Drosophila melanogaster: one gene and its partners. The gene in region 1 interacts genetically with each later gene. Each region holds a gene or a part of one and is shown on either strand. Other genes may lie near its edges.

Evidence for each region.
Region 2: of TkR99D (region 1) and pain, changing one suppresses a phenotype caused by changing the other (phenotypic suppression), as found in Drosophila melanogaster (one study listed by BioGRID).
Region 3: of TkR99D (region 1) and Ggamma1, changing one suppresses a phenotype caused by changing the other (phenotypic suppression), as found in Drosophila melanogaster (one study listed by BioGRID).
Region 4: of TkR99D (region 1) and en, changing one suppresses a phenotype caused by changing the other (phenotypic suppression), as found in Drosophila melanogaster (one study listed by BioGRID).

Annotation. Positions count from the first base shown.
Region 1 is NT_033777.3:29,966,058-29,972,027, reverse strand, and holds the start of TkR99D (Tachykinin-like receptor at 99D), read left to right. Parts: upstream 1-2,580; 5' UTR 2,581-3,045; intron 3,046-5,970. UniProt on the Drosophila melanogaster protein: Receptor for tachykinin-like peptides.
Region 2 is NT_033778.4:24,921,689-24,930,697, reverse strand, and holds the start of pain (painless), read left to right. Parts: upstream 1-2,422; 5' UTR 2,423-2,453; intron 2,454-6,056; 5' UTR 6,057-6,065; coding exon 6,066-6,284; intron 6,285-6,344; coding exon 6,345-8,342; intron 8,343-8,409; coding exon 8,410-8,934; 3' UTR 8,935-9,009. Other genes in the region: CG30427 (uncharacterized protein), read left to right, coding at 728-926, 980-1,219, 1,288-1,419, 1,500-1,625, 1,681-1,798. UniProt on the Drosophila melanogaster protein: Receptor-activated non-selective cation channel involved in detection of pain sensation due to high temperature. Involved in heat nociception by being activated by noxious temperature of 38 degrees Celsius.
Region 3 is NT_033778.4:8,899,513-8,906,276, forward strand, and holds Ggamma1 (G protein gamma subunit 1), read left to right. Parts: upstream 1-1,920; 5' UTR 1,921-2,010; intron 2,011-2,624; exon of another isoform or gene 2,625-2,815; 5' UTR 2,816-2,835; coding exon 2,836-3,048; 3' UTR 3,049-5,279; downstream 5,280-6,764. Other genes in the region: ana2 (anastral spindle 2), read right to left, coding at 1-608; CG13751 (uncharacterized protein), read left to right, coding at 830-1,063; MrgBP (MRG/MORF4L binding protein), read right to left, coding at 1,138-1,328, 1,381-1,795; CCT8 (chaperonin containing TCP1 subunit 8), read right to left, coding at 5,517-6,066, 6,131-6,764. UniProt on the Drosophila melanogaster protein: Guanine nucleotide-binding proteins (G proteins) are involved as a modulator or transducer in various transmembrane signaling systems.
Region 4 is NT_033778.4:11,522,586-11,530,344, reverse strand, and holds en (engrailed), read left to right. Parts: upstream 1-2,134; 5' UTR 2,135-2,674; coding exon 2,675-3,986; intron 3,987-5,119; coding exon 5,120-5,217; intron 5,218-5,497; coding exon 5,498-5,746; 3' UTR 5,747-6,339; downstream 6,340-7,759. UniProt on the Drosophila melanogaster protein: This protein specifies the body segmentation pattern. It is required for the development of the central nervous system. Transcriptional regulator that represses activated promoters. Wg signaling operates by inactivating the SGG repression of EN autoactivation.

The DNA of each region.
Region 1 (5,970 bases):
GCGAATTCTTTTGCATTTTCCGAGGACTTGTGGCTTTTTCGCCGCGGACCAAAGGGTAATTGGAAAAACGTGGCTGCCTAAGTGGAAATTAAAACAACCGAATGTTTCACATAGCTGGCGCCAAATCCAATTTGAAAGGCTTCTGTCTGTGCTGGCCATTTCGGTGGTCAGCACGGCCATCGCTAATTGCCGCGAAACACTCATGCAGAAACTGGCTAAAACCGCAGATGCGGCGCAGTGAGCGAGTTTATTAGAATGCACAATTTATGGAGCATCATTTAAAATTTCATAAACTCGCTAAAAATGTTTATACAGATTAAAAATGGCTGGGCATATTGCATGCTTTACAAATGAGTAATGATATTTGGAAAACAGATTGAATGATTCTTTTGATTCGTATCAACTAAATAGATGCTCATTCCAGCTGACCCTGTGGTGTCTGTTGGTTTTTCCAATTTATCCATCACATTTACAGCGACAGCCGCCCAGGACCGCCGAATGACACGCACTTAAAAACAGCGGGATACGCGACCAGATAGCCTGGGGAAAAAGGAAAATTAAATTTCCAGCGGCCGTGCGGTGGTCATCAATCAAACCACTCGTCACATGCTGTCGGGGCTGGCTGGTATTTAGCCAAATATACATTTTGCCAGCATAATGTTGACAAACAAATTATCATTCTGGCGGTCAACGAGGGGGCGGGGGCGGCAGGGAAGGATGATGATGATGAGGTGCAGGACGAGACGGGCTTAGCGTTGATTAAATGGGGTCATCAGCAGGGCATGGCACTGGTAACGAGCGTTATCCTTGCAGATAGTTAATGATGCCCAGCTGCTCGGGATATTGGCCATTGCAGGCGTACACTCGGACTCGCAGCTCGGTGCGAGCCACCAAGTTCAACTTGGTCCATCATAATCATTATGGATGTGTTCAATGGACTGCACGTCAGCGAGAGATAAAGAAATTTAATGACCTCCTGCTTTCACTGTGTATCCTCCTTCCACAAAATGTAAGACGAGAAAATAATCTAAATGAGACATCGCCTTCAAAGCGTTGGAAAATAGTTACCTAAGCTAGTTAAGTTGACTTGTTTCATCTTGGATCAGTCGAATATGTGTGCCAAACCATGGTGTAGGTCATCTCATTTTACATGCAACCCATTCGTTGCTCAGTTGTTACAACTAAATGGAGTGATTGATGGGACATTGATGCATGTGCAGCGGATGAAGTTGCGGGATTCCATCTCCGCCAGCAAATTAAGACGTCCGAATCTGGCGAAGAGGGGGAGGCATTTCGGATTCATTGCTTACTTTAGGCATTTTTGGCCAGATCAGCCACCAACACCTGCGGCTGTCTGGTGTGAAAGAGCCAAGTCATTTGGCCAAAACTAACAAACATACGCTCTGCACTGAAAACAATTTCTTTGTATGTATGGTAATTGTAAAATTGTAATTGTTTTATCAAAATGTAAATAGAGACATATTCTGTATGGAAAATAGGAGAATTTGCGGTTTTATACCCATAATTTGGCTAAAATCATAATTACAGTCAGTTTTATACATGTTTTTTGGAGCCTGTGACCTAAGCAATCGATCCAAATCACTTTTTAATTGATTTCGAAAAATTAATTTTTGGACCAATTTTCGCAAATTTGATAAGGGGTACCATCATTAAAATTTGCTAAAATTGGCCAAAAATTTATTTTTCAAAATCAACAAAACTTGAATGCCAATCGATTAGGCATGCAATTACGAGCTCAACGAGGTATTACATTCTATATTTTGATAAATTAATCCAAAATTTTTCGTAGCCTTTCCACTTGGGAAAGTGGAATTTTAATGGGAAATGGGAATTTTAGCCTTAGGACTTGGCTACCTTAGCAAAAATAGCAAATCACTTTGCACTGATAATCAAGATGTGTAATCTATTTCAATGATATACCCCTATTGAATTTGTAAACATGCATTCTAAACCTAAAACAAATTATTCGAGTGTATTGATAAACATCTTCCTTTGAATGTGGTATTAAACGCTTTGAAAGTGCTGTTTTGGAAGCGATATATTCATTGTGCATATGTGTGTATATTTTGTAAGACATCTTGGTCATTTGATTTTCCGCTTGTGCGTGGCGTGCACGTGGCAGAATCGCCGGAGTCCGGATTGTTTACGAATAGCCGTATGACAACAGAGAGCGAACGAAGGCAGAGCGAGAGGAAAAGATAGGGCGCAGGCGTAGAAAGAAAACACTCGGCAACACTGGTGAATTTGGGCGGGTTTCCGTTCGATTCCGTCGCAGATTTCAACGCTTTTCAAATGGAAACGTTGCTCATTGCTCCGATAAAATAAAAGGCCCTCAACGCAAAGGGGTTACGTGAGCCCTAGTCCCCAGTGCAACATCCCAACATATGCAACAAGCGGCCGGAGTCCCCGAGGTCCACGGGAACCCCCCCCGCCGCAGAAAAAAAAACCGCCCACTTTTTTGTGGCCCTTATTATAACACCGACATATCAGCGCGCACAGCCTCAGAAAATTCCGGCTGGCATTCAGTTTTCCGCTTTCCGTTCAGTTCAACGGCAGACTCGCGCGCGTACGGTTCGAACTGAAAAGGCGACGGGTCCGGATTTTTTGGACTTGTCGGTTCTCCGGGTTCTCGGTTCCTGAAATTCGCTGATGATAGGTGATAGCTGAAGCTGGCGGAGAAGTGTTGGAAAAATGCTGGAAAATCAGCTTAGAGCTGGCTGAAATGCCGCCGGCAGTCGATCCGTAAACGTAATTGAATTCGGCCCAGTGGATTGAAAATCAAATTCAATTTCGTAGCGAGCAAACACGCAAAAACGATAAACTAGTCGTTAAAGTGAATATACAAATTGGTGTTTTGATTAAAACTAATAAACATAAACACCGAAACCACAGAGCAGCAGAAGGCGAGCAGCGGAATTTATTTTTAAATACGATTTCTTTGTTATTCGCTGCCTGCAATTGGCTGACATTGCTCATACGCCGCGTTGGCCGAGCGAAGAAGTGGGGATTTCAGCATAGTTCCTGGTAAGCGGTCTCCCACTGCCCAAAGTATTTTGTTTTTTTTTTTTCATTCTCTTTCCACTCATTATTGTTTTTCCATATTACAAAAACATTGTTTTCGGGAGGTGGTGGCTTGAATTGCAAAGTTTATTGCACAAACCAAACCGAAATTGGTTTACAAGTTTATGGAAATTCGAGTCGCCAAAGTAATTAGAAAACTGCTATTTGTGGACAACTTTCGGCTGCCCTGGTAACTTTAGCTCGAAATGTAATTACATCGAGAGCCTAATCAAGTGACTAACCCAATTCGAAAGATCAAACTGTAGGCCATTCCCATTCATCCCGATTTTCCACTCAATTTGAGCAACGAGTTCCACGACTCCAGTGAGCTGAGAAATAGTTAACCGATGGCCAAAAACCATCACACCCAATTGACTTTGCCCGATGAAAAGGTTCTCCGATGATCTCAGATTTCGGAAATCTGGTCGGAAGAGCAAATCTCCTGGAATGACAATTAATTCGATTGCGATTTGCGTTTTTTAGGCCCACGGCGGAATGGAAATAATCTTTTTAAATAACGCACCAATTCCGTACATCCTGTGCCATAAAATAAAGTAAAATAAAATAAAACCGTGCGCATTGGCTTATCCCTTGGGTATTTTCACATGTGCCCAGCTCTGATGTTTATAATGCAAATAAGCAAAGTGTTTCAAATGTATTTATTTTGGGGTCGAAGGCGTTTCAGCGCTGGTTGTTTTTTTTTTTAAGCCATTTAATTTTAAGGGGAACGTAAATAGAAGCCTTAAATGCATGCAAACTTCCTGGCTGGATTTTATAGAGTTCATACACAGTTGATATTTAAGAAAAATGTAAACCAAAGGCAAACGAAAGTGTATCTCTTCGTTAGATGTTAAAACTTGATTAAGTGTTTGAGCAGTTAATTAATTGAATTTAATCAAGTACTTGTGGCCAAATGAACTCCACCCTGCAATCAATCGGAAATTTAAGTATAAATCATCAATCAAATCAAGGCATTCATTACCTCGAAGGTATTTCGCTTGTGAACTCCCGACATAATTGCCACTTTAATTGAAGAAAATTAATTCACTCGAAGTGTCCATTTCCAGCTTTCCTTCGAATTCGAAGTGAAGCGCTTTCAAGTGAATCCGCTGGCCAAACAGCACACTTAATTGCTCCTCCGAGATTCCAGACATCATCTAACTCAATCAGTGGCTGGCACAACTTTCTCCGCTTCTAAATATTTAATGTCAACTATGATTAGTGAGGAGGCAAAGTCCTGTGGTTTTAGGCATGTCGATGTGGGATGTGGGCTGTCGGATGTGGTCGGGGGTCTTTGGATCCGGATAAATGGCTGTTTGGCGGCCAAATGAACGCATCCGCACAAAAGCTTTGCCGACGGTCAGCTGAGCAAACCGAAATCCTTTCAGCGCGAATTGCTTGCGGAGGAGCAGGAGGGGATCCGAGGCCATTAGTTGGCCCCAAAAGGCGGCCTTTAAAGATTCAGGCAGGCGTGAACGGATGGGTATCTTTAAGCGAATACGAATGCGAATCAGTAATAAGTGAGTGGGGTGCCGTATGTTCCGTATGTCCAGTGCTGCTCCACAGTGCTGTCATGCATCAAAACATTTAATTAAATTGAAACCGATGCGGCATCCGCCCCACTGCTGACGTCTTTGCCCGGCCACACTGGACATTGGCCAGTGGACACTGGACTTTGGACATCGGAGCGAAGGAGGATGTGCTGCTGGAGGTGGAGGGCAGCATAGCAGGTCCTTTGGCGCCGGAGACGTGTGTAACTTCGGCTTTCTTCCCCAGCTTTCAGCATTCAGCATTCAGCTTTCAGCTGGACACCAGTTCACCATCTCCGCCCCGAATGAATTTAAATGAAGGCAGTGCCGGTCCTAAACAAGTCCGTGAATCATGTGCATATTTTAGCGGTGCTCAGTTGAGTTCGTCCCTCTTTTATGCAGCCCCATCGAGCTATGCAGTGTCCTTGTCGGTGGACAGGACGTGTATTCCACAGGGATAGCCTTTAAATAAATGGGTTAATTCGATGGCATTGTTCGCACACCCAGCACATGTGTCCACAAGACAATTGTCCAATTTATTGGCATTGAACAACTTTGTGTGTCTAATATAAAATGTTGCACATAACAATATGCAAATAACACTTGTGGCAGCATGTTATTTATGACTTTGTGAAGCTTAACTTTAATTTGGCATTTGGCCTTTGTCAAATATTTCATTTGATCGTAGATCCGAATAAAAATTCAATTTTTTCCCAAATGAAGTCGAGCGAATTGGTTAATATTTCCGGAGACGAAAAAAATCTATCAATTTTGAATAAGTGAAAGTTAAAAGCTCCAGCTGAGAAGTCATTCAATGGGCAAAAGCAATACAATTCAAAACTGAAATGTACTCAGTTGCCCCTCGGCCTCGCCACTGCTCCCCATCTTTCCACGCCGAGCAGATCTGCCAAAGAATATACACCGACTGGCAGATGATTGAAATGGGAGTGAGAGCCACAGCGCTGGGAATCGAATGGGGGGAATGGGGAATCGGAGGTAGCCTTTCTTCACTTCTGTCTCCGCTTTGTTCCTCAATTTACACATAATTGCAATAAATTGACTAAGTGGGTGCTGGGGCACTGAATTTATTGTAGTCCGAGTCCAGAGCTCCAAAGATCCATAGCTCCAGAGTCTTGGACATTTGGGCGGAACTGCAGCACCCGTCTATTTTCTCTTCTTACGTATTTATTTTTGCTCGGATTGCTAAGCAGGGCACACTGATAGAATCCGATAGCTGATAAGATAAGACATTGAAATGCCCACAGACCCCACTCATCGACTCACCAACTCACCAGTTCGCCAGCTCACCAGCTCACCAGCTTACCGACTCACCTGTTTGGCCTGGTTTATGTCCACTGGT
Region 2 (9,009 bases), on another chromosome or scaffold:
CCAAATGGAGCTTATGTGCCATTTCCCTCCCTAGCATGTTGAGAGTTCAGGAGAAGATATCCACAGGTCTGGGCGTCCTCCAGTTCTTTACCCTCAATGCCTGGTGCTTCCGATCTGATAACTACGCCTCCCTCTGGAACAAACTCAACGAGGAAGACAAGGCGATGTAAGTGCTGCTATTGAATATTAACATATTAACATATCAATATCAATTTCCCATTCAGTTTTAACATGAACATGAACACGGAGAACACCGAGGAGGAGTACATGATTGAGTGTGCTAAGGGCGCTCGAAAGTTTATCCTCAAGGAAAAGGAGGAGGATCTGCCCACTGCGCGCGTGCACATGAAGATGTAAGTTAGGCAAGAGCCTGTGCTACCCACTATGACTCACTCATCTTCACTTCCAGCCAACGAGTCGTAGACGTTGTGTGCAAGACGGTGATTGTGGGACTGTTCTTCTACTACCTCCTTAAGTGGACGGGGGTGCTGGCTATATTCTGATTCTAGTTCTCCGTGGACTTGCATTGGTTTGGTGGTCACAGGCATTTATTTAGTCAATTAGCTTAGTTGTAGTTACGCATATTCGAGGTTTTGAATCCAAATAAATATGATTGTAGGTTGTTGAATATACACATTTCGCCAACTGCGCCGTGTTTCTCTTTCCCAATCCAGTCACTAAAGCAGACTTTGTGTCTAACCATACTGACCTGTACTTTGTTCTCCAGTAACTCCAGCTGTCGCTGAGCCTCTGCCAGGTTGGGTGGACAATATGAACGGACCTACGGGAGTTCTCATTGGCGCCGGCAAAGGAGTTATCCGATCCATGATCTGCAACGGGGAGCTAAAATCTGAAGTGATACCTGTGGACATCGCCATTAACGGTCTTATCTTATTACCATATCATAACAGTCTTGCGGAGAAGAGGTAAATTTTTCAGACGCCTCCCATGTCAATGTGATGTATAACTTCTGCCACAGACCTCTTCAGATCCCAGTCTACAACTTGACCGTGGACGATGCCAAAAAGCGCACATGGAAATGGATAATGGATGTGGGTCGCGACTTGGGCATTAAGTACCCCTTCGAAGTGGGACTCTGGTATCCCGACGGCAACATGACGTCCAGCAAATTCTATCACACCATCTGTACCATTCTGTTTATGTGGCTGCCAGCCTACCTTATCGACTTCCTACTCCTGATCTTTGGACAACGTCGCTTGTAAAACCTTCAAAAGAATTTGTCAGTTCCGAATAAGAATCTAACCCAAAACTTTTCTGTTTGTCTAGCATGATTCGGGTTCAAACCAAAATCGCTGTGGGTTTGGAAGTTTTGCAGTTCTTTACCACGCGAAGCTGGGACTTTAAATCCACACACTTCGAGCAGATCTACAAGGAATTAGGATCCACAGATCGGAGGATGTAAGCAATATATATCATATGCATTCAATAGATGAATTCATGCATTAAATGGATTTATAACGTAACTTTATTTACGACAGATTTAAGATTAACACCGACGATGTCGACGATTATGAGTACATGAAAGTCAGTATTTTGGGTGGCCGTCAGTATGTGATGAAGGAACCTTTAACTTCGTTGCCGAAATCACGCATACAATTGAGATTGTAAGTAATTTGTTATTTCCATCTATAGTGTTTAACCAATGCTCTTGTTTTCCAGCATGTATGTCCTGGACCGTATTTGCAAAACGATGATAATTTCAGGCCTTCTATATTGGGTTTCCCAAAAACTGAGAGTAGTTGACCTATTTAGAAGCGTATTCCATTCTAGTACATAACATTCTTCTTCAGTTGCTTTTTTAACATTTTGTACCTTTTATTTCATGTGCCTTTGAAAGGGTTTGTAAGAAAATCTTGTTAAAAATATTCAGGTGTTTTGTATACGTAAACTTGTTATTGCAAGTCGTTGATAATAAAAATTTTTAAACATTAGGCTATTTGATTTCAATTTACTGTTACTGTGAGTTACTGTTGTATAGGTTATTTTTATTAGCACTATCTTGAAGTTATACAAATTTGTAAAAATACAGATGAGACGAGGAATCCAACTCGAGTCCCAAACTCTACAGATCTGAATCGGTTTTGTACCAAATTAAGGATGATGTTCCATTGCCGACAGATGTAGTGGAATGAATAGAATATTTAGTATCTTAAATCACTTGTAGCCGTTTGTTATTAGTTGGCTATTCGGCACACATTTAACTGCGAAAAATTTACCATTATTTTTTAATGCGCCCGGAGAGTCTCCACAAGTGTGCCCATATATCTGCCATTCAAATTCTAAGCTCACGAGACAAAAGAGTTATCGATCGATATGCAGGCTCTGTGTGGCCCCTGTTAGCTTTCTGTTAAATTTAAATTTCTGTAAAGTGCCCGCCACTGCGGTCGCTTTCACGGATCAGATTAGTCGTTGTCTGGATATTAACGAGGAAGGTAGTGATCGCGCATTAGTGTCATGCGTTATTTGCTTCGGCGCTGAGAAGTGTTTTGAAAACAGTTTTTGAAAGCCCGAGGAAGATCTCAATGGGTCAATGAGTCATCTCATTCACTATGCAAATAAGACCGGGGTTGCGCCAAACCTTTACTTAAAGACGATGACTCGCGGGGAAGTTAAGACGTTTTATTAGTTACTGCGAATGAATCATGTGTAATGCAGATCTGAAACCGCAGTTGCAAAGTGATCTCGACATCAACCCACACAACAAAAACATAAGCAGTGAAAACAAGTTTTAAAACATTTAACGAAGCAAGGTTAAGAAACTGCAGAAAACGGCGCCCACGGCGCAATCGAAAAAAAATTTAAAAAAAAGCTTTGTTTTAATGACGCCAGAACAGCTAATAAATTGATTGAATTGCATTTGACAAATGATTAATTTGAAATCTACATATATGCGACCTGTGACGTCATCGAAGTTTTTAAAAAAACTATTTTAAAATGCCTGGTGGGCAGATAATGAATATGCCCTAAAAGGCAACTCCCGCCGTGTCCACTTTTCTGTGAAGTGCTCGGATTGTGATACCATTCCCAAATACGAATTAAACGTATAGTTTTATTGCTGACCCGGCGAGTTTAGAAAATGTCGTGTAAGACGAGCCGATAGAGGCCCATGTTTACCCAACTCGGAACTGGGTTGGCGACAGTTTCCCCCAAGCACAGACATTTGCATCGAATTTAGGCGTACAGGGCTTCCGTTCCCCTCCAGAAGCGCTTAATATGCGTTTTTTATTGCCAATTACAATTAAGTAATCCATCGATTAGGCGTTATGCGGCATGTTAGGACCCTCCTCTGGAGCCCGCGCTCCAGCCTACTTACGACTGCAAAAACCGTGCGGCTGAATTCATTCGCTCGCTGATTTGGCTCCGCCCATCTAATTTTTGTATTCGTTTTCTACTGTTCGTGGGACACAGGGGCGTGGGCGCAGAGGGGCTTGAGTTGCTTGGACCGATTGGTAGGTGGTGATTCCTTCGGTTCAGGAATCCGTCCATCTAGCACACGAATTAGCTTTCGTGTGTGTTTCTGAGTTGATCTCACACATGTACTACGTACGTCCGAGTGTGTTTAATTAAATTATTTGAAATTACTGAATCGTGCGGAGCGGAGACTCTGTCTCCCCACTCCGGACACCCCTCCCAAATCTTTTGTTGTGCACACGATGTGGGCCAGTCAATTGTTTATGAAGTGCACAGTGGGTATATAGAGCACTGATCTCCATGTGGCAGGGGTATCCACTTTCGTGTTTTCGCTATTGCTCATGTGTCTGTGGGCTGTTCGCTTAAACATTTTTTCCGAATACAACTAAATTCTGGCGCTGTTGTTTTTTCGCGGATGCTTCACAAGCTCACTTCACCATGAAGTCAGCCCCCATCCACATCTATATCCACATCTGCAGACCCATCTCCGCACGCATCCATCTTAATTATGACTTTTTTACGATGACAATTTCGGGCTGAGCTTTGCAAAGTTGATTACACAAAAAAAAACTTCAGTTGTGGACTGTTGTCCCCAATCACGATCGCTGTTTTTCTGCCACTCCTAAGCATTTTCAAAGAATTTGTGTTTCTGGCTATTTCCCTTGTTTTTCCAGCCTCCAATTCAAGTGTAAACACAGCCGAACGATCGTCTGTTATTCATTAAGTGCAGAGAGAGCATTAAATTTAGCGAACAAAGTCTTTCGTTGCCAATAAACGGACTTTATGGACAAGTAAATTAGTTTATTGTATTTCAAAATCGCCCACTCCATGAAAATCTATAAGGTCACTATATAGCCGAAATGTTGGCACTCCATTCGTTCTGGCACGTACGTATACAACATGATAAACAAGGAACACGCGATTTTAATATTCCTCAGATATTTGTTTGAATCCGAAGCGACTATAATTATCTGCGCTGTTGCATATCCAGCTGTCGGTGTCGCGAACTCCCTTCTTTCCGACATTTTCCAGACTATCCCTCCGATCCCCTCTTGTTGGGTTTAATTTGGATTAAGTGACAGGCAGAAGAGAAAGCGAGAAAGAATGTTATCGGCGAGCCGAAGTTTATCTACCCTCTTGTGAAAATCAGAATATATTCTCGACTAATATTTGACTGGCATGTCAATTGTAAGCTGAAGCTCTGTAACTTCTCTATTCTATTGTGTTGTATTGAGTTATATATTGAGTTGTATGAACCCAATATGGTATTTTTCATTTATACCATTTTAACATTTTTGCTAAGAGCTGTGCACTTCTTCCGTTAAATGTTAGTCTTTGCTTGCTTGTTGTTTTTCCTGTGCAAACCTGATCGACGGGTTTTCTTTTGGCAGTCTCTAAGTGCATTCCACATCCCGGGGACATCGGTCCCCCGGTTCACTCGGCTCTTTCTGAATGGCGGTTCTGCTAAGTTTGATTACGCCATTCTGTCAACTGTCGCCTAAGACTTTGGGCCTGAGCAGGGCAAACAATAAAGTTGTTTGTCAATTGGTTTTACAAATAGCCTAGTGGCCAAATACGCAACACAAACAGAGGGGCCAAACAGTAAGCCAATTAGAGAAGATGATTGTGCGATTCTGTTTATCTTATCAGGCCGACCTTCCCACCTGGGGGGGGTCATTTACAAAACCCAATTTTTTGCCAAGCCAAAAAACTTGGACTGATTAGCCGTTTTCAACGGATGGGTCGGGTATATGTTTCCTGAATACCAATTCTTCGGCTGTTGATAAATAATCAGAAGTGGCGTATTCAAATTAGCCAGGTCTTGAGTGTGATTAGCAGATTTCTCACACATTTCAAGTATCACAGCGGTCAGTATCACTGTGGAAACGAGAATCCCCCAGAAGAAGCCGCCTTGAAATTTACGAACAAAGCCGCCTATAAATCTCACAATTTCGGCGCCCCCATTGCCTGAGTCGCCCCCAGGCTCCATTCGAGCCCCATCTAGAAGAGTTATCAAAGCGTAAAGCGCAACAAATTGATTGCTAATTGATACTGATGTGTCGATTATTTTATGATTATTCTTTATGATCGTTAGACGTTGATACCCGCACCAAACCTGATTCAAATTTAGTGGATCACTCCGACCGCCGCCACTGCTGGTACTGGGGGCTCCAGTACCCACGTCCACCGCCGACCTTGTCTTGTCTTCGCATGGATTGTAATAATTTAATAACTACACGGAGGAGCAAATTAAGACCGAATTCGGTACCACAGAAACCACTTAAGACGCTTTCTTTAATTGCCCCCAAAACGGAGATTTGGCTGTGAAGAAACCTGTAGGGCAGCTTTTTTCTCTCGCTCCGTTCCAGCCTCATGTCCACTCCATGTGAAAACCATCGTAGCATGAAGCGATGTCAAATGCCGTTTTTCGAGAGCTTCCAATTCCAACCTATTGTTTTTGACTTCCAAGGCCCTAAGGTCTAGTGGGGTCACAAAGTGGCCTGAGTGAGCAATGCGGGTTCTTGCTTCATTTTCAGCTTACGTTACTCATTCGACGCGAATTACCTGAAGTCCAGCCCACATAGACATTGCTCATCCGATCCGTGGCTGCTCTTTCTTTGCAGACCAAACCAATGGACTTTAACAACTGCGGCTTCATTGATCCGCAGGCCCAGCTAGCTGGAGCTTTGGCCAAGCAGGACATCCGACAGTTCGTTGCTGCCCTGGACAGCGGTGCCCTGGCCGATCTACAAGACGACCGCCATACCAGTATCTACGAGAAGGCACTCTCAACACCAGGTTGTCGTGACTTCATTGAAGCCTGCATCGACCACGGCAGCCAGGTGAACTACGTGAGTAGAGCAACAAGGAGTAGAGGTCGGACACCATCTAACCACAGTTCATCTTCACAGATCAACAAGAAGCTGGACAAGGCCGCAATCAGCTATGCGGCTGACTCTAGGGATCCAGGAAACCTGGCGGCTCTCCTTAAGTACCGCCCCGGAAACAAAGTCCAGGTTGATAGAAAATATGGGCAGCTTACTCCACTTAACTCACTTGCCAAGAATCTCACGGATGAAAATGCCCCAGACGTGTACTCCTGCATGCAACTCTTGCTGGACTACGGCGCCTCGCCGAATATCGTAGACCAGGGCGAGTTCACACCCTTGCACCATGTGCTGAGAAAGAGCAAGGTGAAGGCTGGGAAGAAGGAACTGATTCAGCTCTTTCTGGACCATCCGGAGCTGGATATCGATAGTTACCGAAACGGGGAGGTGCGCAGACTGCTGCAGGCGCAATTTCCGGAGCTTAAGCTGCCGGAAGAGCGTCATACCGGGCCGGAGATTGACATCCAAACTCTTCAAAGGACTCTACGGGACGGGGACGAAACACTGTTTGAGCAGCAGTTCGCTGAGTACTTGCAGAATCTCAAAGGCGGAGCGGATAACCAACTAAATGCCCACCAGGAGGAATACTTCGGACTGCTGCAGGAGAGCATCAAGAGGGGCAGGCAGCGAGCCTTCGATGTCATTTTGTCCACTGGCATGGATATCAACTCGAGACCAGGCAGGGCCAACGAGGCCAATCTCGTAGAGACGGCCGTGATATACGGTAACTGGCAGGCGTTGGAGCGACTGCTTAAGGAGCCAAACCTGCGACTTACTCCAGACTCCAAGCTACTAAATGCAGTAATCGGCCGTCTGGATGAGCCACCGTATGATGGCTCCAGCCACCAGCGCTGCTTTGAATTGCTCATTAACAGCGATCGCGTAGACATCAACGAAGCTGATTCCGGACGCCTGGTGCCTCTGTTCTTCGCTGTTAAGTACCGCAACACGAGTGCGATGCAAAAACTCCTGAAGAACGGTGCCTACATTGGTTCTAAGAGCGCATTTGGCACACTACCCATCAAGGACATGCCACCCGAGGTTCTCGAAGAGCACTTCGACTCGTGTATCACCACAAACGGAGAGAGGCCTGGTGACCAGAACTTTGAGATCATCATCGATTATAAGAACCTAATGCGCCAGGAGAGAGACTCCGGACTCAACCAGCTGCAAGACGAAATGGCCCCGATCGCATTCATCGCCGAGTCGAAGGAGATGCGCCACCTGCTCCAGCACCCGCTGATCTCGAGCTTTCTATTCCTCAAGTGGCACCGACTTTCCGTGATATTCTACCTGAACTTCCTGATATACTCGCTTTTTACCGCCTCCATAATTACCTACACGCTCCTCAAGTTCCACGAAAGCGATCAAAGGGCTCTTACTGCATTTTTCGGATTGCTTTCCTGGCTGGGAATCAGCTACCTTATATTACGGGAGTGCATCCAGTGGATAATGTCTCCAGTTCGGTACTTTTGGTCTATAACGAATATTATGGAGGTGGCTCTTATTACACTATCTATCTTTACCTGCATGGAATCCAGCTTCGACAAGGAGACGCAGCGCGTCTTAGCCGTATTTACCATCCTACTCGTCTCCATGGAGTTTTGTTTACTAGTGGGCTCCCTGCCAGTGCTCTCAATTTCGACGCACATGCTGATGCTGCGAGAGGTGTCAAACAGCTTCTTAAAGAGCTTTACCCTCTACTCGATCTTCGTGCTCACCTTCAGCCTGTGTTTCTATATCCTCTTCGGCAAGTCAGTGGAGGAAGACCAGTCTAAAAGCGCTACGCCATGTCCACCTCTGGGGAAGAAGGAGGGGAAGGACGAGGAACAGGGCTTCAACACATTTACCAAGCCTATCGAGGCCGTGATCAAGACCATTGTGATGCTGACAGGCGAGTTTGACGCCGGAAGCATCCAGTTTACCAGCATCTACACCTACCTGATTTTCCTGCTCTTCGTGATCTTTATGACGATAGTGCTGTTCAACCTTTTGAACGGTCTTGCAGTGAGCGACACCCAAGTAGGTCTATCGCCATTCGTATTATTTCCCTTCGCTAATCCCATTTCCGGCGTTATTCATTATCTAGGTTATTAAGGCTCAGGCGGAACTGAACGGAGCCATTTGCAGAACCAACGTCCTTAGTCGGTACGAGCAGGTTCTCACTGGCCACGGACGCGCTGGGTTTTTGTTGGGCAACCATCTCTTCCGCAGCATCTGCCAACGTTTGATGAACATCTACCCGAACTACTTAAGTCTGCGTCAGATTTCCGTGCTGCCGAACGATGGAAACAAAGTGCTTATTCCAATGAGCGATCCCTTCGAAATGAGGACCCTTAAGAAGGCTAGCTTTCAGCAATTGCCCCTGAGTGCTGCAGTGCCCCAGAAGAAGCTGTTGGATCCACCGCTTAGACTTCTGCCCTGCTGCTGTTCCCTGCTCACCGGAAAGTGCTCCCAGATGAGCGGCCGGGTGGTCAAACGGGCCCTCGAGGTAATCGATCAGAAGAACGCGGCGGAGCAGAGGCGGAAACAGGAACAGATCAACGACAGTCGACTGAAGCTGATCGAGTACAAGCTGGAGCAATTAATACAGCTGGTCCAGGACCGGAAGTGATGGAGAATGTATTTTGGTAGCTTTAGTATTTATGAGACTAATCAACCTTTTAGAACGATTTGCATTTAACATTCA
Region 3 (6,764 bases), on another chromosome or scaffold:
AGGGATACCAGAGCCGCCAGATCACTCTTATTGGCCAAGTTGCTGACGTCGATGTCGGAATAGACAACCTGGGGCAGTGATTTTCGCGGAGGAGATGGGTTGAAGGGATCGGTCTGTGTGCCAGCACAGATGGTGAGGACATCTGCGTTGGAGGAGCTGGACAAGCGCCTAGATTGATATGCCTGTTGCTTGGGCTCGGCATTATAGCCACCAGCATTGCAGTTCATATGATTGGTAGTCTGCTGCGCATCGCTTGCATAGTTGCGATCCCGGGGCATTACTTGGTATTCCTTCGAGGAGCACGGACTATTGCTGCTGGGAGCGGTGCGAGGACCCAGTTCTGTGGCCAAAATGGGCGAAAAGTTGACCCTGGGCAGCATTTGCTTCTTCCAGGACGCGAAGGTGGGTGCAGCACGAGGGGATGACTCCTGATGTGCATGATTTGGCTGCTGCGGCTGCATCTGCGGATCCTGCGGCGGCTGGCCAAACAATATGGATACCTCCGGCACGGTGGGCCCTATAATCTCATTGGTGTGGCCCATGGGCACTGCTGCACTCGGCCTGGGCGCTAGTCTGGGCAGCATATCCTCCGTTTCGGGAACAAACATTTGGAGCGTATTTGTTTATATTTGCCGATTAAATTAAATTCGAGCGGGAGAATCTGTCCAATTGGAAGTCGATCGACTTAGGGGTGGAACTAGGGCTGACGTAAAACGCCAACTTATCGATACTTTATCGAGTGTACCCTACACTTAGCCAAGTTTCCAAGTGCACGAGTCACCCAGCGGACTGTGTGTCATAGCAAAAGCTGAAATTTCTCGGGGGAAAAATGCCTGTTTTGGAGCACATCAAAGCCATGGCAGAGACTCCGACTCCAGCTGAGAACAGCCCTGCACCGGCAGACGAGAATGCTCCGCCCCAGGCAGTCCGGGAACTGACGCAGACCGACCATCTCAACCGACGCCTTCTCAAATCGCTCCTGGAAAACATGCAGGCCACCGAGGTTCTGGCGCAGGAGAACGGGAACGGCTCCAACGAGGAGGACAACGATTTCGAAGAATAAATCCTTTTATTAGAGTACAGTAAAACTAATGAGCTAAAACGGATCAACAATCGTCAGTTTCGGGCGGGGGTCACCTATATGCGACGGCGCTTGTTGCTCTGCACCGGCGGCGGCGTAGTGGAGGGGCTGATGGACTCGTTGGACATGGAGCCGCGTGTGCGCTTGGCCGGACGCTTGGGCAGCTGCTCCTGGGGCTTGGCGACGGGCTTTTTGTCGCCGTCCTTGGTGGAATTCGTCGGTACCGGCGTTTTGGTTGCAGGTGGAGCTGTAAAACAACATTACAAGTGAATGAATCCTGATGATAACTAACGAACTACCTTTGCCATTGGTCTCTGCTGTTGGAGGGGCCGACTGTGCCTCTGCAGCCTCCTCGTTGGCATGCACTTCCACCGTCTTTTTGGTCTGTAGCGTTCCGTAATCCTGCTCCGGCAGGCTGAACTCGCGCTCCTCGTTGGGAAAGGGCAGCGACTCCAGATCGTCCAGTTCCTTCAGCTTGTACATGGTGCCCAGGTGGCGCCAGATCAGCTCGCTGGGCATTTCACGGTTCAGCGACTTGGACAGACGCTGGACAATGCAGGACATGTAGAAGTGCTTGTTGATGCCCACCGGGCGCAGGCCTTCCATTGCATGGAACAGCTGCAGCTCTTCCTCGGCGGACCACTCGTGGTCGAGGGCGGCCGGTAAGGGGGCCGCCGTTCCGGCCACAGCCAGACCCTTGTCCTTGGCCATCATTTTGCAGAGCGCATGGAACTAAAAACTGATACGTATTGTATGTTTTTCTGCGCGAATATTAGCGATGGTATGCGGGTGCGCTCACGCACCCGAACTATCGCCGCGCGGCACATCACTAGTTTGGGTGTGTATCCACTTTTATTCGTCAACTTTGCTCGATTTTAGCCCGTAGAGTTCGAGATTTAAAAAAAAAAAAAACATATAAGCCGGAGCTGGTAATTAACAAATAGTGTGCAAATATAGTTATGTGTTGTGTGTGCATCCGTCGAAAACTTCACTTTTCCACTATAATCCCTCTGCTAACCACACGGCGCAGTACGCCTTCGTGTGTTTGTGTGTGTGTTCTCCTTCACTATTTCTGCATAAAAAACTAATTTTCGGTGTTCCCAACGAGTTGAGCAGTGTTTTTTGCACACAACTCGGGTTCTCCATGTGCTGGCACAAGTAGCGCCCACCGCCCACCACCACGCCCACTTGGGGTCAGTTAATAACCTTGCACTTGTTCGCGTCAAGGCTTCCAGTTCGGCTGGAAAGTTAATCAGCAATGCGATCGATGAAACCAATGCCTGCGTTCGGTTCTTTACATGTGCCACAAAATAACACATATGTTAATGCGTAGTGTGACTCACTATCTAGCTATCCTAACTTCCCGCCTAGTACTAAACACTGACTAAACTACACCAATCTACCAACTATCTCTGTCTAGAATCGCGAAAATGTACACATATGTTATAGCTTTGTGTCGCCTGTTCGATGTTGTGCCCGTATGGGGAAGCCTGTACAAAGAATGAGATATCTAAACTACATATAACCAACTTGTTATTTCCAGCCAGCCATTAAGATCCATCCAAACCAGTATTCCCAGAATCATACGATAAGATAAGCCAAAGCCAAAGATCAAAGACCAAGCCCTTCGGCGAAGCCACACAAGCACTAGCAACCAAGCACACCACCCCAAATCCACTATCCCGTAATTGCATTTCCCAGTATCCGTAACACTGAGAACCTTTTCAACCATAGGCCTATCCGAGACAGCCATCATGGACGTAATGTCATCATCCCTGCAGCAGCAGCGCGTCGTGGTGGAGCAGCTGCGTCGCGAGGCTGCCATCGACCGCCAGACGATCTCGGAGTCATGCGCTAAGATGATGAAGTACATCACGGAGCACGAGCAGGAGGACTACCTGCTCACCGGGTTCACCAGCCAGAAGGTGAATCCCTTCCGCGAGAAGTCGTCCTGCACCGTTCTCTAAGGAGGCGGTGAGGATGGTCCGCCGTTGCCGAGGAGTCAGCGATCGCCGGCGGACGTTTAGCTTATTTTTAGTTTAGCAAGATGGATTAGGACGCAAACGTGTGTGGAGTACTACCCCAGTACCAGTATCAACGCCACCTGGAACAATATATAGTTGTGCAGAAGCCACAAAAGCTACGATTGTCATAAGCAATATCATTACAAGAAGTTTGAATTCCAATTCTAATTCCAATTGCGAGGAATATATATATATATTTGAATCGATATATCAATGTGTACCAGCCACGTTAACAAGTAATGTCCGAAACCAGAAACACAAACTCAATGTCAAACCTAAATCTATATCTAAATCTAAATCGAAGCATTTGTTCCAAAGATATCAGAGTTGTTTCCTTTCCGATGAGTAACGCAGTTAATGTACACGAATATCCCAACTATAACGACAATTAATGCGCTGACTATAGCACCTACTACTCTACCTAACCCGAAATTCTATATATACAAAACTATCAACTTAATCCGACATACAAATTTATCAATAAACGCAAACTCAGTCGAAACGGAAATACATATGTTATATTTTGCCTTCTTATTTCGAGAAATATCTGTTGTATTTGTTGAAAATTGAGAAGATAACGAACGAGGCGAGTGTAAGAAGGAAAAGTTGTATTGAAAATATAAGTATTTTGAAGCTTATTAACCACCAGCGGGTGGAACGACACCACAAACAACAAATGTACGAAAATATCTTATTGAATTACTTAAAAGCTTTAACACGAAGCAGAAATGCTACCCACAACAACCAGCTAGTTGAACTTATCGCAATATTTAGTGCGTTTATTATCCAGTTTTTCTTAGTCAAAGTATATAACGAACGTTGCAATAAGCGACAAGAGCATATATAATACCAAATAACTTCAAAATGTAATCAATATTTGTCTCTTAGCATAGTTTCTTCATTTTAATTCACTACGGCGTAGCAAGCCGATATCCAATTGAATGATAGCAAAAAGTTTCGCAAGACCAATAACTTATTTCATTCCCGTAACAACACAACCAACACACAGATGTCCTCAGAAACTCGAAAACTGTCCGTTTCTCTAGTTTGGCGAAAATGCCGAGAAGAATGTGTGATTCTTCCTCCTCAAACGCATCCATTCTAATCATATATGTAAACGTGTTGAGCGCAATTAATTAAAGTGTTATTGGCATGAGAGAAAAGTAACCACACAAGCAAGTTATTTTTGTACAAACTAACATGGCATAGGGCACCTTTGTTCGGTATTGGAATGATAGACGCAATGATTATCCTGTAGGGAGAGCACGCGTATGATATCAGCATACACCCACCAAGTCGTACATACACACATATTGCATCCCGAACTTACGATTCTCGTCCCGCTGAGACGAACTGTCCAAGTCGCCAGCTCAGTGTGGATGGGAATGAGGAAGGTATAGTTTATTTGATCGGTTCTTCCAAAATTGCATTTAACAAGAGTTTTTGAATTGGCGGTGATTTTAGTTCCTAACGTAGCAAAATTCAGACAACGTTTACTTAGTACCAAGAATCACACGTTTTTGGAGACGGCATTTTCTATTCGGAAACCTATATAAAAGGTTTTGAGCTCCAGTTTGCTGTCGTGAGCAAACAGCAAAATGTGGTCCAAAGCCGCCATTGCGAAAGGCTTTCATGGGAGCCGCCCTATCAATCGAAACTGCAGTCGGTTACGGGAGTCCTCCCAGTTTCTGCTTAAACATTCCGCATTCAACAGTTTTCGATCCAACGGACACTTTGCATCCAAACTTTTTAGTTATCCCTGAATGTTATTAGCCCGAGGACAGCCGAACCACCCAATGGAGCACGGATGGTTTGGTTTCGTCCTCAGATGTGTCATTTTCTATAACTTATCCATAGAGGGTAAATCGCATTTGGAAAGGAAGGGCATTAGATGCACACGTACTCAAAATCAATCATGGTCATCGAATACACTTTAACACCTTTCACTTCAAATGAAAAGCGACAACGAGATCGTATTTTATTCGAAAATTAATACAACTCTTTTGCGATGCAAACGGGGACGAGTCCTCACAAATATTATTGAAATGTATCTGCGAATAAGCATTTGAAATATTGTACTCAACAAAATGAATAATCGTTTGCTTAAATTTCAAAAATAAAAAGCGATAACTTACTTAGATTCGTTATCTAGCGGTGGCACCGGGTTCGGTGCGAAAACCACGTTGTTTTATTTCAAAGGCCCCCGAAGGATCACGCGTTTCAGTTCAGTTTTCGTAAGTTAAGTTTATTAATACAAGAAACTGTGTGCATGGCTGTGTATGTGGGTGAGTGTGAGAGTGGTTAATGAAATTTATAATTTCCATGGGACTCGTTTATGAAAATACAATGCACTCTTTGTGGGAGCGGGAGAAACTAGTTATAGTAGGGAGTACGAATCACAGAGGAGCCGCTTAACTCTCGTCATCGCTGCCGGCAGCCTGTCGCACCTTGGGACCTCCGGCGCGCTTGGCCATGATGATCTGGTCCACCTTCAAGATGGTTGCGGCCGCGCCAACAGCGTACTTGAGACCCCAGAACTTGGACTGGTACAGATCGAAGAGCTTTGCCTTCGTTGTGTCGATGGTGCTGGCCTTCTCGGCCTCAATGTCGAAGCCGATTGTCTTTCCGGCCTCGTTGTTGTGGGCCAAATACAACTGGTTGACGATTTCCGTGCCATTGATGCCGGAGTTCTCGGCCAGAGCCTTGGGGAAAACTTCCAGCGCATTAGCGAACTTGCGCACGGCGTACTGGTCCAGACCAGGCAGAGTATCAGCATAGGCGGACAGCTGGGTGGCCAACTCGATCTCGGTGGCGCCAGCTCCGGGCAGATAGCGGCCATCCCGGGTCAGGCACTTGAAGTTGTTAATAGCGTCATCCAGGGCACGCTCAATGTCATCCATGAAGTTGTCGGTAGCTCCACGGATCACCACGGTGGCAATGCGCGAGTCCTTGCCCTCGTTCCTGCAATGATTCAATAAGAAATTATAATGGTATTTTCTCTCGCTAATTCCATTGAAAATCCCACCTGAAGGCCACAATTGTGGTGTCTCCCAGTTCCTCGATGCAAACTTTGTCGCAGTAGCCCAACTCCTCCTGACTGGGCGTGGTGATGCGCGGCAGGACAGTGGCGTTTACGGATCGGCTCAGGCGACGCAGGTCGAACTTAGAGTTGAGACGCACGGCCATCAGACCGTATTTGTTAAGGAAGTGCAGAGCCATGTCGCCAACCTTGCCGCCGGCCACAACCACCTTGACACCTGCGTCGGCGATAGCCTTGATCTGGCTCTCCAACAGGCTCTCTTCGCCGGAGGAAAAGCTCAATAGCTCGTCGGCCGACTTGATCAGCACTGTGCCCTTGGTCTCAGTTTGGATAATATCGACGGGGCAGGAGAAAATCACGATCTTGGCCTTCTCTGCATAGGTCACATCGCCTTCTACGAAGCGCTTGAAGACCATGCCGCGAACCACCTCAGACTTGGTCAGTCCGCTGCCCAAGATCTTACAGATGCGAATGTTGTCCACGTTGAAGGTGCCCTCATCCGGCAAGATGGAGACGCAGGCCTTGCTCACCAAATCGTTGAGGAAGTCCTCCTGGCCGTACTGCTTCGACATGATCGATGTGCGGAGTACCTCCTTGACCTTCTCCACATTGCGATAGT
Region 4 (7,759 bases), on another chromosome or scaffold:
ATTCTATGTGTTACTATTCATTTTTGACTCTAACAACGTTATCTTATATTCTCATCATTTGAATTCCGTTGATATGATCGCACATATAAATCTACCGACATTAAAATGAAAATTTTCATGCAGCGTAATGTGTTTCTTTGGTATGTTTTGGCACCCTGACAAGTTCGTTGTTTGAGTCTTTTGTTTGGCCGGCAGCTACGAAGCTGAGAAAAAGCCATTAGAGATCGAAAAGTAACCGAAACAGAAATAGAAACAGAAACAGTAGCCGAAGTGGTGGAAAGCCAAAGCTCATTAGCAGTTACCATTTTATCCAAACAGACGCATCATTATCATTAAGGGCAAACGGGAAAGCAGCAAAAGCAGCCACAGCAACAATAGCAACCACAGCAGCAGCATCAGAAACAAGTTGAAAACTTTAATTAACGCATTTTTACGCAACTGTCGGCAGCAGTTTAACCCTTTTCGTGGCCAAATGCTGAGCAAACACGACAACGGTAATAATTGAAAATCATGGCAATCAAAGCGGAAAGTGTGTAGGGGAATGGAACGGTGTGGAAGGGTGGAAGTTGAGCGGAAAATCAACAGCTGCCGACGGCAACAGCGGAATGTGTAAGAGGAAGATGGTCAAAGGGGGTGTGCGAGAGAGAGGCAGCAGCCATTGTTGTCATGCGTGAGAGAGCAGGGCAGAGTGAGCGAGAAGCGCACAGTGCGAGAGCGAGTGAGACAACTATCTATTCGAAGTTCGAAATTCAAAAGGGGAAATAGATTTGGCTCCGTTCCAGTTTCCAGTTTTTCCAACTTCGACTTTTAATGGCTGACCGCAGACTGGAAGGTGCGTTCGAACCGGTTAAGATCGAATCGAAACGGTTAAGACCACTCAACGGAATTTCAATTTATGCATCTGAGCTGTTCAAATATATTTATTAATTTATATTCGATTCAAGTCCATTTGATACTTATAAAAATGCGCATAAAAATTGAATAAATTTCGGCCCATTGATTGTGGAACAGGTTAACCACGAAATTTGCTCTAAATATGGATTATGGCTTATTGTTTGGGCGTTAGTTTGTTGGCGCGAATTGCTTATGTCACAATTGGCAACAGGAAATGTGGGAGTGTGAGTGGTGGCGAGATTACTCTCTAATTAAATCCTTTGCCCCATAAATCAGTAGCCCACATGGCAACGATCGCTTTTATTATGCAAAAATTAACACAACAAAATCTGCTAGCTATAAGGCAATTCATTAGCGATTTCGTTATTTGATTTCGGTTTTATTCACATCGAACAGATTCGTTGATTTATGAGCTATATATCAGTGGTTATATGTTCGGAATCCCACATCTATACACTATTTGCAGCACATGTTTCACATTTGTAGATCGTCGGTTGATTAGAGCCCCACAAAAAAGCGTTATTGTTAATGTCCAATGCCAAATGGCGTTCGTTTTTAACACCTTCTAAGGTTTATTTTGACAGTTAGCGATGGTTTTTCATTCGCTCGTCTGGCAAATCGATATTCGATGGGCAAATAAATAAATTAAATGTCAATTAAATATCAATCAATTTCGTCAGCTGTTTTTCAAGGCACATTTAACTGGTTAATTGAAGGCCTCAAAAATAAATTGTCATCGTGTATTTAGCGTATTTTTGTGAAAAATCGCAAATGATACTGGTGGTGGGAGTGGGGGTGATAAAAAGTTTCCCTTCATTTAAATTAAAACAATTAGCTTTGCGGTTTTTTTCCTCTCTTTCGATTCCCCCTCTACACATGGCCTAAAGGTGGTGTCGATAAAGTTGTAGGCTGTAGAAAACGCAGATTGAAACGTCGCGGCCGAAAACAAAATCAACAAAAACTAAATGCTTATGAAAAGTGTCTGTGGAAAGAGATGGCATGTGGCTCTCCCCCTCATGGAAAGGCAGCCATTTTCCTGGCCTACTCGCAGAGGGAGTGAACAGTGCCGCTATATGACCCCCACTCGGTAACGCCCCGTGAGAGAGGGAGAGCTTGCGCCTGCGCAGTTCGCTGGGGACACAGTTGTCAACCGGCTGACAGCTCCAGCATGCGCATAATAAAGTCATATTGCTGCCTAACAAGCCCCCCTCGCCAAATTGGCAAGAGAGAGTGAGAGCGAGAGGGAGCGAGCGAGAGAGCGCTCTGGCCAGCTAATAGGAGTGAGTGAGCCGGCGAAACCGGTTCGCATGGGGCAGGTGACAAGGCTAAGAGAGAGCGAAAATCGATCAGTGTAAGGCCGAAAAGACACATCTTCTACTCTCATCTCTTCATGTCACTGTCACCAACTGCTGTCACTCACTCACTCGCTCGCTCGCACACACTTCGCCAGCTACTTGTGGGATCTCGCCCTCTCGCTCCCGCACTCGGACCTCTCTTTCCACCGTGACAGTTCAATCGGCTCTCGCGTTAACTCTCCCCGACGTCGGCGCTGCGATTCCGAAGTAGTCAACTAATTCAGTCGTTGCGCTCGATGTGAACAGACGTGCGTGTCGGAACAACAGTTGCAAATCAAACACGAAAGCATAAGCCAAACAAAAAACACCAAACAGAGAAGAGAATCAGAAGATTCTGAGCAATCAGAAGAATCAGTGGCTCAGTGTCAAGTGACCCAGTGACAAGTGTCTTAAGCGAGTTGCGATTTAGCACCAAGTCGAAACCAATGGCCCTGGAGGATCGCTGCAGTCCACAGTCAGCGCCCAGCCCCATTACCCTACAAATGCAGCATCTTCACCACCAGCAACAGCAGCAGCAGCAACAGCAGCAGCAAATGCAGCACCTCCACCAGCTGCAGCAACTGCAGCAGTTGCACCAACAGCAACTGGCCGCCGGTGTCTTCCACCATCCGGCAATGGCCTTCGATGCCGCTGCAGCCGCCGCTGCTGCAGCTGCTGCTGCGGCCGCCCACGCTCATGCTGCTGCACTGCAGCAGCGCCTCAGTGGCAGTGGATCGCCCGCATCCTGCTCCACGCCCGCCTCGTCCACGCCGCTGACCATCAAGGAGGAGGAAAGCGACTCCGTGATCGGTGACATGAGTTTCCACAATCAGACGCACACCACCAACGAGGAGGAGGAGGCGGAGGAGGATGACGACATTGATGTGGATGTGGATGATACGTCGGCGGGCGGACGCCTGCCACCACCCGCCCACCAGCAGCAGTCGACGGCCAAGCCCTCGCTGGCCTTTTCCATCTCCAACATCCTGAGCGATCGTTTCGGAGATGTCCAGAAGCCGGGCAAGTCGATGGAGAACCAGGCCAGCATATTCCGCCCCTTCGAGGCGAGTCGTTCCCAGACTGCCACGCCCTCCGCCTTTACAAGAGTGGATCTGCTGGAGTTTAGCCGGCAACAGCAGGCTGCCGCCGCAGCCGCTACTGCGGCCATGATGCTGGAACGGGCCAACTTCCTTAACTGCTTCAATCCGGCTGCCTATCCCAGGATACACGAGGAAATCGTGCAGAGTCGGCTGCGCAGGAGTGCAGCCAATGCCGTCATCCCGCCGCCCATGAGCTCCAAGATGAGCGATGCCAATCCAGAGAAATCTGCTCTGGGATCCCTGTGCAAGGCGGTCTCGCAGATCGGACAACCTGCTGCCCCTACGATGACCCAACCTCCGCTGAGTAGCAGTGCCAGCAGCTTGGCCAGTCCGCCACCCGCCTCCAATGCCTCGACCATTAGCAGCACCTCTTCCGTGGCCACCAGCTCGAGCTCCTCCTCGTCGGGTTGCTCCTCGGCGGCCAGTTCCTTGAACTCCTCGCCCAGTAGCCGACTGGGAGCCAGTGGATCCGGAGTCAATGCCAGCAGTCCCCAGCCGCAGCCAATCCCGCCGCCATCCGCCGTTAGCCGAGATTCCGGAATGGAGTCCTCGGATGACACGCGTTCCGAGACGGGATCCACCACCACAGAGGGCGGCAAGAACGAGATGTGGCCCGCCTGGGTGTACTGCACCCGCTACAGCGATCGTCCCAGCTCAGGTTAGTATCTATGCGATTACCTAGCGTTTAAGTGGGTCAGAAAGAGGGTTCGTCGGGCACCATCTTCAGTGTTGTCAAAACAAGGAAGTCCCAAAGGTTCGTTAAAAAAAAAAAGATGTGAAAATGGTAAATGGTATATGGTTACATGGGGACCACCCTTGGGGAGCGTTATGTTGGCGGCAGCCTTTCAAGCAGCTCTGTTTTGTGTCATAAATCCGAAGGACACTGCCACAATTAGGCGACACGCGGACAATGGCAATGAGCCCGAATCTGACTCCCATTTCTATAACCATGCCCATTCCCATTCCCATTTCGTATCCGAATCCGAATCCGATTTTGGGCCTCACGCAGTGCTGCGCTGCTTTTGAAGAGCGACACTTTATGTGACAACATGTAGCGCAGAGCCAGCGCTTGTCTATCGGAACTGTTAGATCCTCAGGTCGAAGGTCACCGCTCACGCACACACGCCACGCAGAAGCCGAGACCCTAAAACGCGCTGACGATTGACAGGGGAAAAGTAGGTGCGGGGGAGATATGATGGCGGGGGAAGCCCCTTCGAAAGGAGAAGAGTTTTCCATTGACAAGCGGAGATTTTCCTTGCAGCTCTTCTTAGATCGTGTGTTAATTGACGAGTTAAGTGCTTTTTTATGGTCGGCAATGGTTTTTTAATTTGGTGTCGATGCAATCGATGGCAGCCCATAAGCGAGGCGTTGATGGCCCCACTCCGCGGCTAGGAATTAATCAAACGATCTCCACTTACTGGCGGTCAATTAAATTATAATTTACAATGTGTGGAAATCTAATAAGCACTACGGATTGCTGCGGTGCCGCGTTGCCAATTAGCCGGTGACTTGGACTTAGTCGCTAATTAGAGAGTTGGCTAGCTGGCAAATCATTTGCCTAAAATATGCCGTAGACCTTTGGGTTCGTTAACTCGCCGGAGTTCTACTCTTCTCTTGCGCTGACAGCTGACAAATTGAACACTTCCCCGCCAGCACGCGAAAGGGAGCTCCAGCTCCGGCCGAGGAATTCCGCCCAGACATATGCTAATTGAATCATTAATATTATTAATAGTATGTGGCGCATTTATGCAAATAGAACTAACGTATTTCTCGTGTTTTTGTTTATTCCAGGACCCCGCTACCGCCGCCCCAAACAGCCAAAGGACAAGACCAACGACGAGAAGCGTCCACGCACCGCGTTCTCCAGCGAGCAGTTGGCCCGCCTTAAGGTGAGATTCAGTTCTTTTTTCCATATATGGTTATATGGTTATACCAATATCCATCCATATCCATATCCAATTGCCCTACGCTTGTTGTGTCATATTTGCACCAAAATATTGACACCGCCCGCTGCTAATGCATCCTGGCAATGTGGTGTCCCGTCCGTACTTAACCAATCAGCCACGCTCGGCCGAAACCGCAAATAATTGATTTTCCCTACCTGACTATACAACATGGATATCCTTGCCATCCGAAACTCATCCAGCATTCCATTTCTTCCACTTACAGCGGGAGTTCAACGAGAATCGCTATCTGACCGAGCGGAGACGCCAGCAGCTGAGCAGCGAGTTGGGCCTGAACGAGGCGCAGATCAAGATCTGGTTCCAGAACAAGCGGGCCAAGATCAAGAAGTCGACGGGCTCCAAAAATCCGCTGGCACTGCAGCTGATGGCCCAGGGATTGTACAACCACACCACCGTGCCGCTGACCAAGGAGGAGGAGGAGCTCGAGATGCGCATGAACGGGCAGATCCCCTAAGCGCTGACCAATGGTTACCCATAAGGGGTTACTCCTTCTGACGGGGGCGTGCAATATTCGAGGGCGTACAAATGGTTTTCATGTGATATAATTGTAGCGTACATATGTTTTTGTATATATCTCTAAAAATATATATATATATACGTATAATCCTAACCTAGAGTAAGACCCATCCGTAGCGAATTCGAGCTGTAAGTTGTTGGCGTATTTATTTAACCACCCCTGGATAGCCGAAAGTATTATCGTAATCACCCGACACAAAGCCTATCGCTATCGCCGCACTTCAAAAGCTTCGACCTTCAGACGTTTATTCCTACACAAAACACTATCTATAGTTATTACTCCCTATAAATTACGCGCTTGCAACCGCTCTGTAAATTAAGTAACTTAACAGTTCCCTAGCTTAATTCCTAGTTTACACACTTAAGGATTGCTATGAAAGAGTATTTTAGTTTCTAAGCGAAATGTTAACGAGCAACTAATAGCTGGCAAATGCACCTAAGAAAATAACAACGAAATGTTTGTGCTAAAGCAAGTTCATGAAAAGAAAATTAAAAACAAAATAAAAGAATTATGGAAAAAAATTAAAATGCAATTGGTTTCCTCTGGGAATTGGAAGTCTGCTACATTAAAGGAAAATATGCCACCCATATATCGGAGGACATGCGGTCTAATCGGTGGCCTTATTTGTACTTTGTGTAGGGCGCCATTATCTTCTCTACGCTTTTTCATCTGTCACATCAAAGGCTATAGAACATTAAATCACGAACACTTGTCGTCGGGCGAGGGTGCCGCTAATTGCACAATCACATTCCGAACCAAAATCGGAGGCCGTCGACGAGTAACGGCAGCTCTTGCTCTTCGATTCCATTCCGTTTAATTAAAGCCAAATCCGCGCGTAGTATAAACAAATATCTGTGACGAGACAGAAGCCCAACAAACAGAAAGAAAAAAAAAAATGCAAAACTAAAGCGGCAGGGAGCAGTCATCAAATGATTTATTGGCACAGATCTCGCGGCGAGCGGCGTTAATTTGCTGAAAATAAATGCAAACGCGAAATGCAATGCAAAATTGTGGGAGGGGGCGGGATGAGCAGCTGACATTTACTGGCAAGCGTTGATGTGCACATACAATACACACACACACATGCACGGCTGTATGAAGCGCATATGAATTGATGCCAAACGCTAATTGCACAGCTAGCTTGAGGCTCAAATCCATTCGCATGTCTCGAGGGGTCTCGCTTTTTCAGTTATTCAGTTACTCAGCCTTTTAGCCTTTCAGCCAAGGCGGATTCAAATCGGCCGAATTATAGAGGCGCAAATCCATTTGTGCACGTAATGAACCAATTAGACAATTTGCCCATTAGCAATACACACAAACATCGCCGCAATCTGTCTCGCCATCTGTCTATCTGTATCTGTATGTCTGTCCGTCGGTCGACTGTATCTGCAAATCGAATTAAATGGAAGCGGAAATCAAGTAAACTTTTTTATTAGGCACTCTGTACGTTTGGCGGGTATATGGGGATGAAGTAACAGATCGCCTAAAGCTTTTATTTGGGAGTATTGTTTTTGGTTTCAGGAAAAGTTTGCGCACTTTATTTACCTCTAATCCCAACATTTATTACGATTTTTTGAAAATTAAAGGTTAGTCAACCAATGAAATCACTTTCTCAACATTAAACTACTAGCAGTAATCAATTTCTAAGGATTTTATAGCCAGTGTTTTATAATGTTAAAAAAATATAAAATCCCTAACCTTTATTATACACTAAACATATTGGTTGTGTAAAATCGCACTAGCGCGCTTCGTCACTACGTGTACTGCCCTTTACTAGGCAGGCTCATTAACCATTATGAGCAATTTGTAAGCAATAGCGCACCACGGTTTTTACTTTCCAAAGCTACTTGAAATATTATGAGCTTTATGATTACTATAATATTCCACAGAGGAAAGCAAATAAACTATTTAATTTATATCTATCGAATTAATTTACCCCTTGCAAGCTTT